Xenopus tropicalis: one gene and its partner. Each later gene encodes a partner of the first gene's protein in a complex. Links are inferred from orthologs where the notes say so. Each region holds a gene or a part of one and is shown on either strand. Other genes may lie near its edges. The genes, in order: fnip1 and lamtor5.

The links.
Region 2: fnip1 (region 1) and lamtor5 share a complex: the UniProt entries of both Homo sapiens proteins name them as parts of the lysosomal folliculin complex. The link is inferred for Xenopus tropicalis from reciprocal best matches to the Homo sapiens genes FNIP1 and LAMTOR5.

The regions. Positions count from the first base shown.
Region 1 is NC_030679.2:36,017,885-36,022,430, reverse strand, and holds the start of fnip1 (folliculin-interacting protein 1), read left to right. Parts: upstream 1-1,465; 5' UTR 1,466-1,646; coding exon 1,647-1,735; intron 1,736-4,546. UniProt on the Homo sapiens protein: Binding partner of the GTPase-activating protein FLCN: involved in the cellular response to amino acid availability by regulating the non-canonical mTORC1 signaling cascade controlling the MiT/TFE factors TFEB and TFE3.
Region 2 is NC_030678.2:72,306,014-72,310,593, reverse strand, and holds the start of lamtor5 (ragulator complex protein LAMTOR5), read left to right. Parts: upstream 1-1,576; 5' UTR 1,577-1,668; coding exon 1,669-1,703; intron 1,704-2,055; exon of another isoform or gene 2,056-2,223; intron 2,224-2,253; exon of another isoform or gene 2,254-2,294; coding exon of another isoform or gene 2,295-2,326; intron 2,327-3,736; coding exon 3,737-3,798; intron 3,799-4,580. UniProt on the Homo sapiens protein: As part of the Ragulator complex it is involved in amino acid sensing and activation of mTORC1, a signaling complex promoting cell growth in response to growth factors, energy levels, and amino acids.

The DNA of each region.
Region 1 (4,546 bases):
TGCTTCCTCCTCTCCCTGATTCTTCATGCTGCAGGGTTCTTGACGCTCCCTACACTCCCTGATTCTTCCTGCTGCAGGATTCTACCTGCTCCCTACACTCCCTGATTCTTCATGCTGCAGGGTTCTACCTGCTCCCTACACTCCCTGATTCTTCCTGCTGCAGGGTTCTACCTGCTTCCTCCTCTCCCTGATTCTTCCTGCTGCAGGATTCTACCTGCTCCCTACACTCCCTGATTCTTCATGCTGCAGGGTTTTACCTGCTCCCTACACTCCCTGATTCTTCCTGCTGCAGGGTTCTACCTGCTTCCTCCTCTCCCTGATTCTTCATGCTACAGGGTTCTTGACGCTCCCTACACTCCCTGATTCTTCCTGCTGCAGGATTCTACCTGCTCCCTACTCTCCCTGATTCTTCCTGCTGCAGGATTCTACCTGCTCCCTACACTCCCTGATTCTTCATGCTGCAGGGTTCTACCTGCTCCCTACACTCCCTGATTCTTCCTGCTGCAGGATTCTACCTGCTCCCTACACTCCCTGATTCTTCATGCTGCAGGGTTCTACCTGCTCCCTACACTCCCTGATTCTTCCTGCTGCAGGGTTCTACCTGCTTCCTCCTCTCCCTGATTCTTCATGCTACAGGGTTCTTGACGCTCCCTACACTCCCTGATTCTTCCTGCTGCAGGATTCTACCTGCTCCCTACTCTCCCTGATTCTTTATGCTACAGCATGCTACCTAATTCGTGTATGATGTAGCATTCTACATGCACCCCACAACCTGTTCTGTGCTAAGGTTCAGGGGTAAACTGACTTGTAACTTTTATTTTGAGCACTGTCAGCAGTTTTAAGTGTATAAAATGATATAATTAGAAACATCTAACTCTATTAAAAGATCATTAAAGGATTCAAGAGCACTTAAAGATTCCCTTATTATAGTATCCATTTTTACATTTTGAAGTTTAAAAAATGGTATAACCACACTCACTGACTACCTGTCATGGGGTTATGTTGGAGGATGTGACAGGCTAGAGGGATCAGGGAGTAGGTAGAATAGTACCAAATAGAGGGATCGGGGAGCAGAAAGGAGAAAGTATGAGGTACCTAGGAACTACTGTTTACACACAGGTAGCAAGCAAGCACAGGAGGCAGAGAGAGGTGGAGAGAGGAAGCAGGGCGGAGGGAGGTGGGCGAAGGGAGGAGGAAGCAGAACAGTGTAAGATACAGCCCGGAACAGTCGCTGACACTTTGTGGGATTACTCAGAACTTAACGGGGTGACAACATAATTAATTTTTAGTAACAGAATACAATTGAGACGCATTGTCATTTTGCACACATATGTCCTAAAATGGACACCGTACACATACAAACAAAACACAACGAGCCCAGGCCAATTGTCTGCGGCTGCGAGCCAGCCAATCACAGGACTGCTTACATTTCTCCCTCCGCCGTTTTCTCTCCAGGAAGTGGCTGGCAGGAACCTGGGAGGGGTGAGTGCCCTGAATTCCCGCCCCCTTAAGCACATCTGACAGCCGAGGGTGTCAAGCGGAGAAGCAGTCATATGACTTGGACACAGATGGGGAGCTAAGTGTGTAGTGAGGGAAACAGAAGAATGGCTCGCTGCTGGGGGAGATAGTGTAACTTTACCAAAAAAATGCCGCCCACTCTCTTCCAGAAGCTTTTTAGTAAGCGCAATGGGCAGGCGTTTCCCAACAGGGACCCGAGAGAAGACTATGTTTTCAGGTACCTTTTTACTACGAGTTTATATCTGTGTATTATTTCCCCTTGCTTGCTCACATCGCTGGGCTTTTTGTTTGCTGCTATCTGCTGAAGGCTTTGGGGCTTCCCTACCTCAGTGGCTTACCTAGAATGAGGATGCAGCCCATGTTTGCCATTAGTATTGCATTCTGTGTCTCTTTGAGCTGTTGCTTGTGCTCCATCTATACTGCAAGCAACACTGGCAAACCCCAAAGCACCATTGGGCCAAATACAGTTCTGAGCAACTTTTCAACATACATTAATAATGTTAACAGCTGTTGAAAGCATTATCTGTCTCATTAGTTTTTTATCTACTGCAAAACTATTGGTATTAAAATGGGAAACCTTTTGCAGCATTTTGTTTATTAAGAGGTAGCAAGATAATATGCCCTTGTTACAGGTATAGGACCCATTATCCAGAATGCTCAGGGTTTTTCGGATAAGGGGTCTTTCCGTAATTTAGATCTTCATACCTTAAGTCTACTAAAAAATCAATAAAACATTAATTAATCCCAATAGGATTGTTTTGCATCAGATAAGGATTAATTATATCTTAGTTGGGATACTGTTTTATTTTTAGAGAGAAAATTTTTAAAAAAATATGAATTATTTGATTAAAATGGAGTCTATGGGAGACAGACTTTCCGTAATTTGGAGCTTTCTGGATAACGGATCCCGTACCTGTGCTAGCAGTTATTTATAGGCTGTATTGTGAAGCCTTTATAATCATTCTGTCTCATCAAGTTATCTGTGGGTGTGAGACCACCATGGTGTAAAGACAGTGCTCTTGCAGCCTTGGAGTTTACTGCTGCATTGCCTTTGCTAACGGCCAAATCATTCCACTGAGTCTGCTGGAAAAATCCTTTGCCTTTGTGAGACAAAAGTATCAGTAACACTGAGTAGTCATGTGAAAGCTTGCAAGGGGTCATTTTGGACATGGAAAAGTGTCAGGTCTCCTTTCAGAGAGGCAGGCACATACTTTTCTCAAGGCTTATCTGTTCTTTTCATATATAAAGTAAAAACATAGGCTCTTTGCAACAGCCTGGCAATAAAACCATGAAGGTTGGCAAAAGGAAGCAAGAAATACAGGGCAAATAGAGTTAGAGAAGGACTTTGAATTCTTGATCAGACAAATTTACAATTCATTTTACTATATTATTTTGGTCACATTATGTGATCGAAACGTTGATATCTGCACATTAAAGATTCTTTTTGATTATTTTCAAATCCTGTGAGTGCGGAGTCCTTCGTTATCTACATGGTTATTTCCTCACCTGGCACCCAGTCAATTTACTGATTTTTTTTTGGTGAGTGCCCTCCCTGTATCATGTTATATATAAAACAAAAGCTTAAAAAAGCTCTTTTTACCACCATTGGAACATGTGAAGACTGTACAGCGCATGTGCCAGTTAGTGAGTGGGTACTTGGAGATCCAGTGCCTAGGGCAGCACTGGTGCTTTGTTTTAGGCCTTTGCCTCATGTCTTGTAGTTTTCTATTTGTAGCAGATAAAAATGTGTTTCATTGTTTTGTATGGGGTTTGCCACATAGACTACTAATTGTAGCACAGACACATGATAAACATAAAATCGGTTTTAAAGATGCTAAGGTTTAGGAACACAAGGTATATTTTCTTTCTTACAGGTATATAAGTAGGATACAGGTATAGAATCCATTATATGTAAACCTGTTATTCAGAAAGCTCAGAATTACGGGAAGACCATCTCACATATAGTCCATTTTAAGCAAATAATTGCTGCATTTCTGACCTATTTCTTTATGTATGGTGATCCAAGTTATGGAAACACTCCTCATCCAGAAAAGCCACTCTTTCTGGATAAAAGGTCCTATATCCATATTAACTCTAATTTCAGTTAACTTTTAGGTCTAGAATTATCAACTGTTTGCTGACAAAATACCTTTACATTCACACTCTTATAACCAATGGAAAAACAAATGTTGGGTCATTTTGCCATAGTTATTTTTGCCTACGATTCAGTTTAAAAAACCCAAAACTTTTATTTTGTGTAAATTTCAGGAAGACATAAAATCCAGGGAAAAAAAACCCCGCAGGTTGCCTATATGGGATAGAATGGCAATTAAAGAATGTAAAATCCAAGAATGTAAAGTCAACATTTTACTATATGTATTTTTCACTAAGGTATAGGACTTGAATTTGGTTTTTGTCCTGTAGAATAAAATGGTTTATGTCTAGCTGGAGAACACTTCCTGTAGAAAAAAAAATAAACGGCAAAATACTTTGAACAAAGAGCTAGATTTTAAGAATTAAATTTAGACTGTTATGACATGTTTCTTAAAGTCAGAGAAAGCATTAGAAATGTGGAAAGAAAATCAAAAAGCATAAAATGCTAAATTTTATGGGGAAAAATAAATGTTGCCCTTTTAAGAGAATGCAGGAAATAATTATTTTTTAAATATCTTTCCACCTTTTATGGCACATGGATTTCTTGTAGCTGGATAAATTAAAGTTTATCCAAGTTGCATGCAGTATGTAATGTGTTTGTACAGTGCACATAGGTGCTAAATACTTAAGCATTTGACATTAACCTTAATATCTGTCATCTAGATGGCAGATATTTCTGGCCTCATGTTAATGACTTCATTGTTCATCACATGAAGCCTGGCTGGCATCCAAGGGGTTACAGTGTGCATATAAAGGGGCTCTTACTGTATGTCATGTGCTGTATTTAAGGAGATGAGGGAATATCCTTCATGCCTAATTCAAGGTACTGTAGCTTCTAGCAACTATTACAACCTTTTTATGCCACACTTCATCT
Region 2 (4,580 bases), on another chromosome or scaffold:
TGGGCCATAAGCCTAAACGAAATATAGTAACATTACATTCGTTTGTTTGAGAGCCTCAAAAAAAGCGAAGTAAAGTTGCTCTTAGTAAAATTTTAAGCAATAGCACCATCTGCTGGTTATATCTAGTACTTATGTAATTATATTTCATTTACCTGTGTAATTTCTGTAAAACAGAACATTTAAATTGTTTGTTGCCTTGCTCCTTTTCCACAAACAAATGTTTAAGGTGGCCATACTTAAAGATCCGCTCGCCTTTCGAGGTCCCTTCTCCCGATATCCCCATCAACAGGTGGCGATATCGGGGGAATTTAGGTTAATTCGGTCATTTGGCCCTGGGGAGCCAGTCGGTTGGGGGACCACATCAACGAGCCGATACGGTCGCCGATCCAACTGAATTTTTTAACCTGCCGATCTATATCTGGCAATTTTAGGCCAGCTATCAGTCGGGCAGGCAGTCGTTGCTGCCCCTACACGGGCCGATAAGCTGCCGAATCAGTCCAAGGGACCAATATCCGGCAGCTACAATCAGCCTGTGTATGGCCACCTTTAGTGTTCAAGAGAGAGATAAGCTTGTAGCAGCCTAGAGTATTGTAGTGTTTTACCCTATTACAGCGTGACTGCAATGTGAGCTTATGTAAAGAATGTAACTGTATCTGTGTTTTCCCATATGCTAGTATAGGATGGGTTTTCTCGTAAAATATTGAAAAATCTTGACACTAAGCCGTTTGGGCCCATACCCTTAACTGTGGGAGCATCCTGTTAGAATAAATGCATGCTACTCTATGCAAGGGCACCCTCTCCTGTTTTTTATTGAACAGTCTGGCAAAAACCACCATTTGTGCCGAGTGGCACAAGAATTGAAAGTGAATAGTGATCATTTTTATATGACCCGGACATAAGTCCAATAGCATAACTCTTAGTTTCTCATTCAAAAGACCACTTCTGTCAAGCTTCTGGTTGCACTCTGCACCCTAGGCCTAATAAACAATCCAGCATGAGGTGAGGAATAACATGCAAGTTAAGGATTGGGCAGGTAGTAGTAGGGGGAATTTACATCTGTCCTTGCCCCAGTAGAGCTTTCAGTTCTTACCACATTCACAAACTCTGTGGTTATGTTTATCAATAGCCACTTAACTTAACTAAGGTGAACAAACCCTTTAATATATATTTTAGAAATATTTTATTTCCTTTGATTGAAGCCCACCACATCCATTTGGGAGAAGAAACAACGTCATGTGCAGTAACAAATCTAGAGCTCCATGGAACTGGGTGTAAAATTCACTCTGGACATTAACCCACGTGACACCCAAAGTCAGTTAACCCTCTGTAAACACTAAATTGCAAAAGGAAGTCAAGAAACCAAAATGGACAAGAATCCTACTGTCAGGCCAGTAAAAACAGTAATCAAGAAACCTATTCTCAGAGTATGTTAGCTTTGTATGAAGCATTGTGCATTGTAGCGGAACCACCATTAAGCCAAAGCATATTAATAGTATTTTTCATTCATTGATTTTTCTTAATAGCGCCAGAGCTTCAAATACTGCAAACGAAAACTCCCATTAGCCCCACCTTCTGTCTAACAGTCAGCTGACCGGGAGGGTCACATGAGCAAACACCCGGAAGAGGAACTGCTTTAAGGTTTTTTTGACAGGAAGAAGAGACTCAGCTATGGAAGCGGCTCTGGAGCAGCATTTGGAAGATACGTGAGTGCTCTGTAAACACATACTAAGGAAAATAAAATTAATTGGTTTTTTTCAATTAGTAAAATCAGGACATTTAAAGCGAAAGAACAGAAATAATTCAAACAGACAGAAATGCACTTCAGAACTTGAATTTCGTAACGTGTCTTTAAGTTTGCTGGTAATAGTTCAGATTCTCTTATTTTTAATCATTCCTACATGCGTGATCTCACTCAGGAGAGGAAATCGTGGGGGGAGGAAGCGGTGAACACTGTCACTGTTCATTCGGAGACTGGGGCATCTGGGGGAGGGGGTATAAGCATAAGTGTGAGCTATTAGTTACACAAGGTAACGACCATGTTGTTGCTGTTAGGCGGGTAGGCAGTTGAAGAGGGGATGTAAATTCGGATGCACAGATTAATTGCAAGGAAGTTGTTGGAGGGGTTTACTCGAAAAGCAGAGGAGGCCTTGGAGTTTTTGTTAGGAGGAAGCAGTGCAATATCAGGCATGGAGGTTTGGGGAGTCATGAGTTAACTGCATGTAAATCCTTATTGGGGGTGAGAAGGCTCATGAAACTGTGTAGGTGAATTGGGTGGCAGAGGTGGCCATGCAGTTATGTGTAAGGAAATGGCACAAGTGGCTGGCAGGTAGGTTATGTGAGGAGGATGATGGAGTGGAGTTGTGTAGGTGGGCAAAGTGGCATAACTGAAAGGGATGGGGGCTGTGCATGTTTTGATGGAGTCAGGCATACTGGCTCTTGTGTGGAGCTGAAACGTCGGATTAATAAAAACCATGTAAGATATTGCTAAAAAACTTTTTTGGTGAATATTAACCAAAGTCCTGTGAGTGCTAACCTTTATTGCAATTGTGTGTATATATATATATATATATATATCTGTATTCATTGGTGCGTGCATAGGTGCTCATATATACATGCGTATGTGTGTATGAAAGTGCTTATATATGTGCACATATAGACACATATATAAGTAAATATTTAGGTGCACATGTGTATATATGTGCATCAATATGTGTGTAATTGTATGTGTATATGTGCAACAACACGTGTGTACATATAGGTCTGTAAATAAGTGTATATATAGATGTGTGTTTGTGTCCAAGCAGACACACAACCATGTGGCTTCCTTGTTTGACTCTACACCTGGAATTTTACTTAACAAATACATTCATGGTCTTGATCCTCTGCTAGTGAGTATTTTCTAGTGCATGATCTGTATAGAGGTGTTTAATAAACGGGTTGCACAGATCGATCTGCCCACAGTGCGATCACATATTATTGATTCCTTAACCAAGATTCAACTTTATTTAAACACTTGATTATATTTCTGACTATTTTACTCTAATATTCTGACTTTCACGGTACATCCCTGACATCTAGCTTCATAAAAAGTGTTACTCTTCTTAGACCTTGTGGTTATTCTCTTGTACTTTCTATTTTGTCCATTTAGTATTCTTTTTTTATTGCCTGTCTATATAATTTTTGTTATTATTTATTTTTGATATAATTTTGATCTCTGTCTGGTAACGTAGGATTACGTCATCTCCACTTTTTCCCACCACTGTGTGCTTTTTAGACACTGAGTTTGTTGTATTCACCACTTTGATAAAGGCTAGAGTGCTAGCCGAAATTTTAGTCTCCTATATAATAAAACAACAAGTCCTGCGAGTACTGACACTTCCTCCAGTATATTCAATAATTTTTGGACCTGAGTGAGTGAGTGCCGGCATCTATTTGGAAGTATATATATATTTCTGAGAAAAGTTGTGTTGTTTAATACTGACACAAGAAACATCAGAGACTGACTAATTGTCTAAACTTTGCAACATCATCTTTCTTTTCCCCTGACTATAAGGACAAAATGGCAGCTATGGCCACTCTATCACTTTTTAAATTTGTTTGGTTAATCTATAATAATCTATATCTATAATATCCTATGAACTAGTAGAGATGATATAGCTGAAATAGCTTTCAGATAGGTAACCAGTATTTGTTTGGTATCTTGACACAAGTGTTTTGCCGTTCCTTACTTTTTCAGAATGAAAAATCCATCAATTGTTGGAGTTCTGTGTACAGATTCACAGGGGCTAAGTCTGGGATGTGAGTACCCTTTTACATTGGTTTTGTGTATAATATTGAAAATTGATGTAAATTGCAAAAGTACTCTGAGGAACACTCTGAGTAAGGTTAACAAATTCATTTTTAGGCTTAATTCAAATAAACAGCTGTGGAAATCCTTCCCAGAAGAGTAGAGGCTATTATAGCAGCAAACGGAGGAACAGCTTTATATTAATTACGTTGCTCTGAGAATTACCTTTGACCATTTGGTGTAGCTGCTGAACTTCCAATATTTGTCTTATGTGAAGGCTCCCTCTCCCTTTTATGGAGATTGCTATCTGTTACTCTGCAGCCAAAGTAATCTGTGAAAGAGTCAGTAGAAACAAACAGACTCTTGCATGGGGGTACTGACCCCTTTGGTAAACCCTGTTAAGTAACACAATAGGTTTTTAATCCATTGGTCACCTGGGCTGAAGGCACCATGGCCTGCACACACACAACCATGCCCCTGATCCCCTCATCATGCTTCATTAGTCCAAAACCCTGCCTACTCCATGCAAGCCCCACCCTACTTGTGTTTTTAATTCTCTTGGGGCCCCTGACAGCAGCAGACAATATATGCCAAAAGCCAAGAACAGAAGCTTCTGTACCTGCGTTGCTGAGTCTTTGTGCTCCCACCACAAAATACTCGTGATCACAAGGTTCACTTTCCCTCTGAAATCAGCAGTGGCTTAGCACTTGCAAACCTGTCCTTGAGGCTGCCTTTTTTAAAAAAAAAAAAAAAAAAAAAACAAACTTTTTTTTGGAGGTGTAGGGTAGGTTTG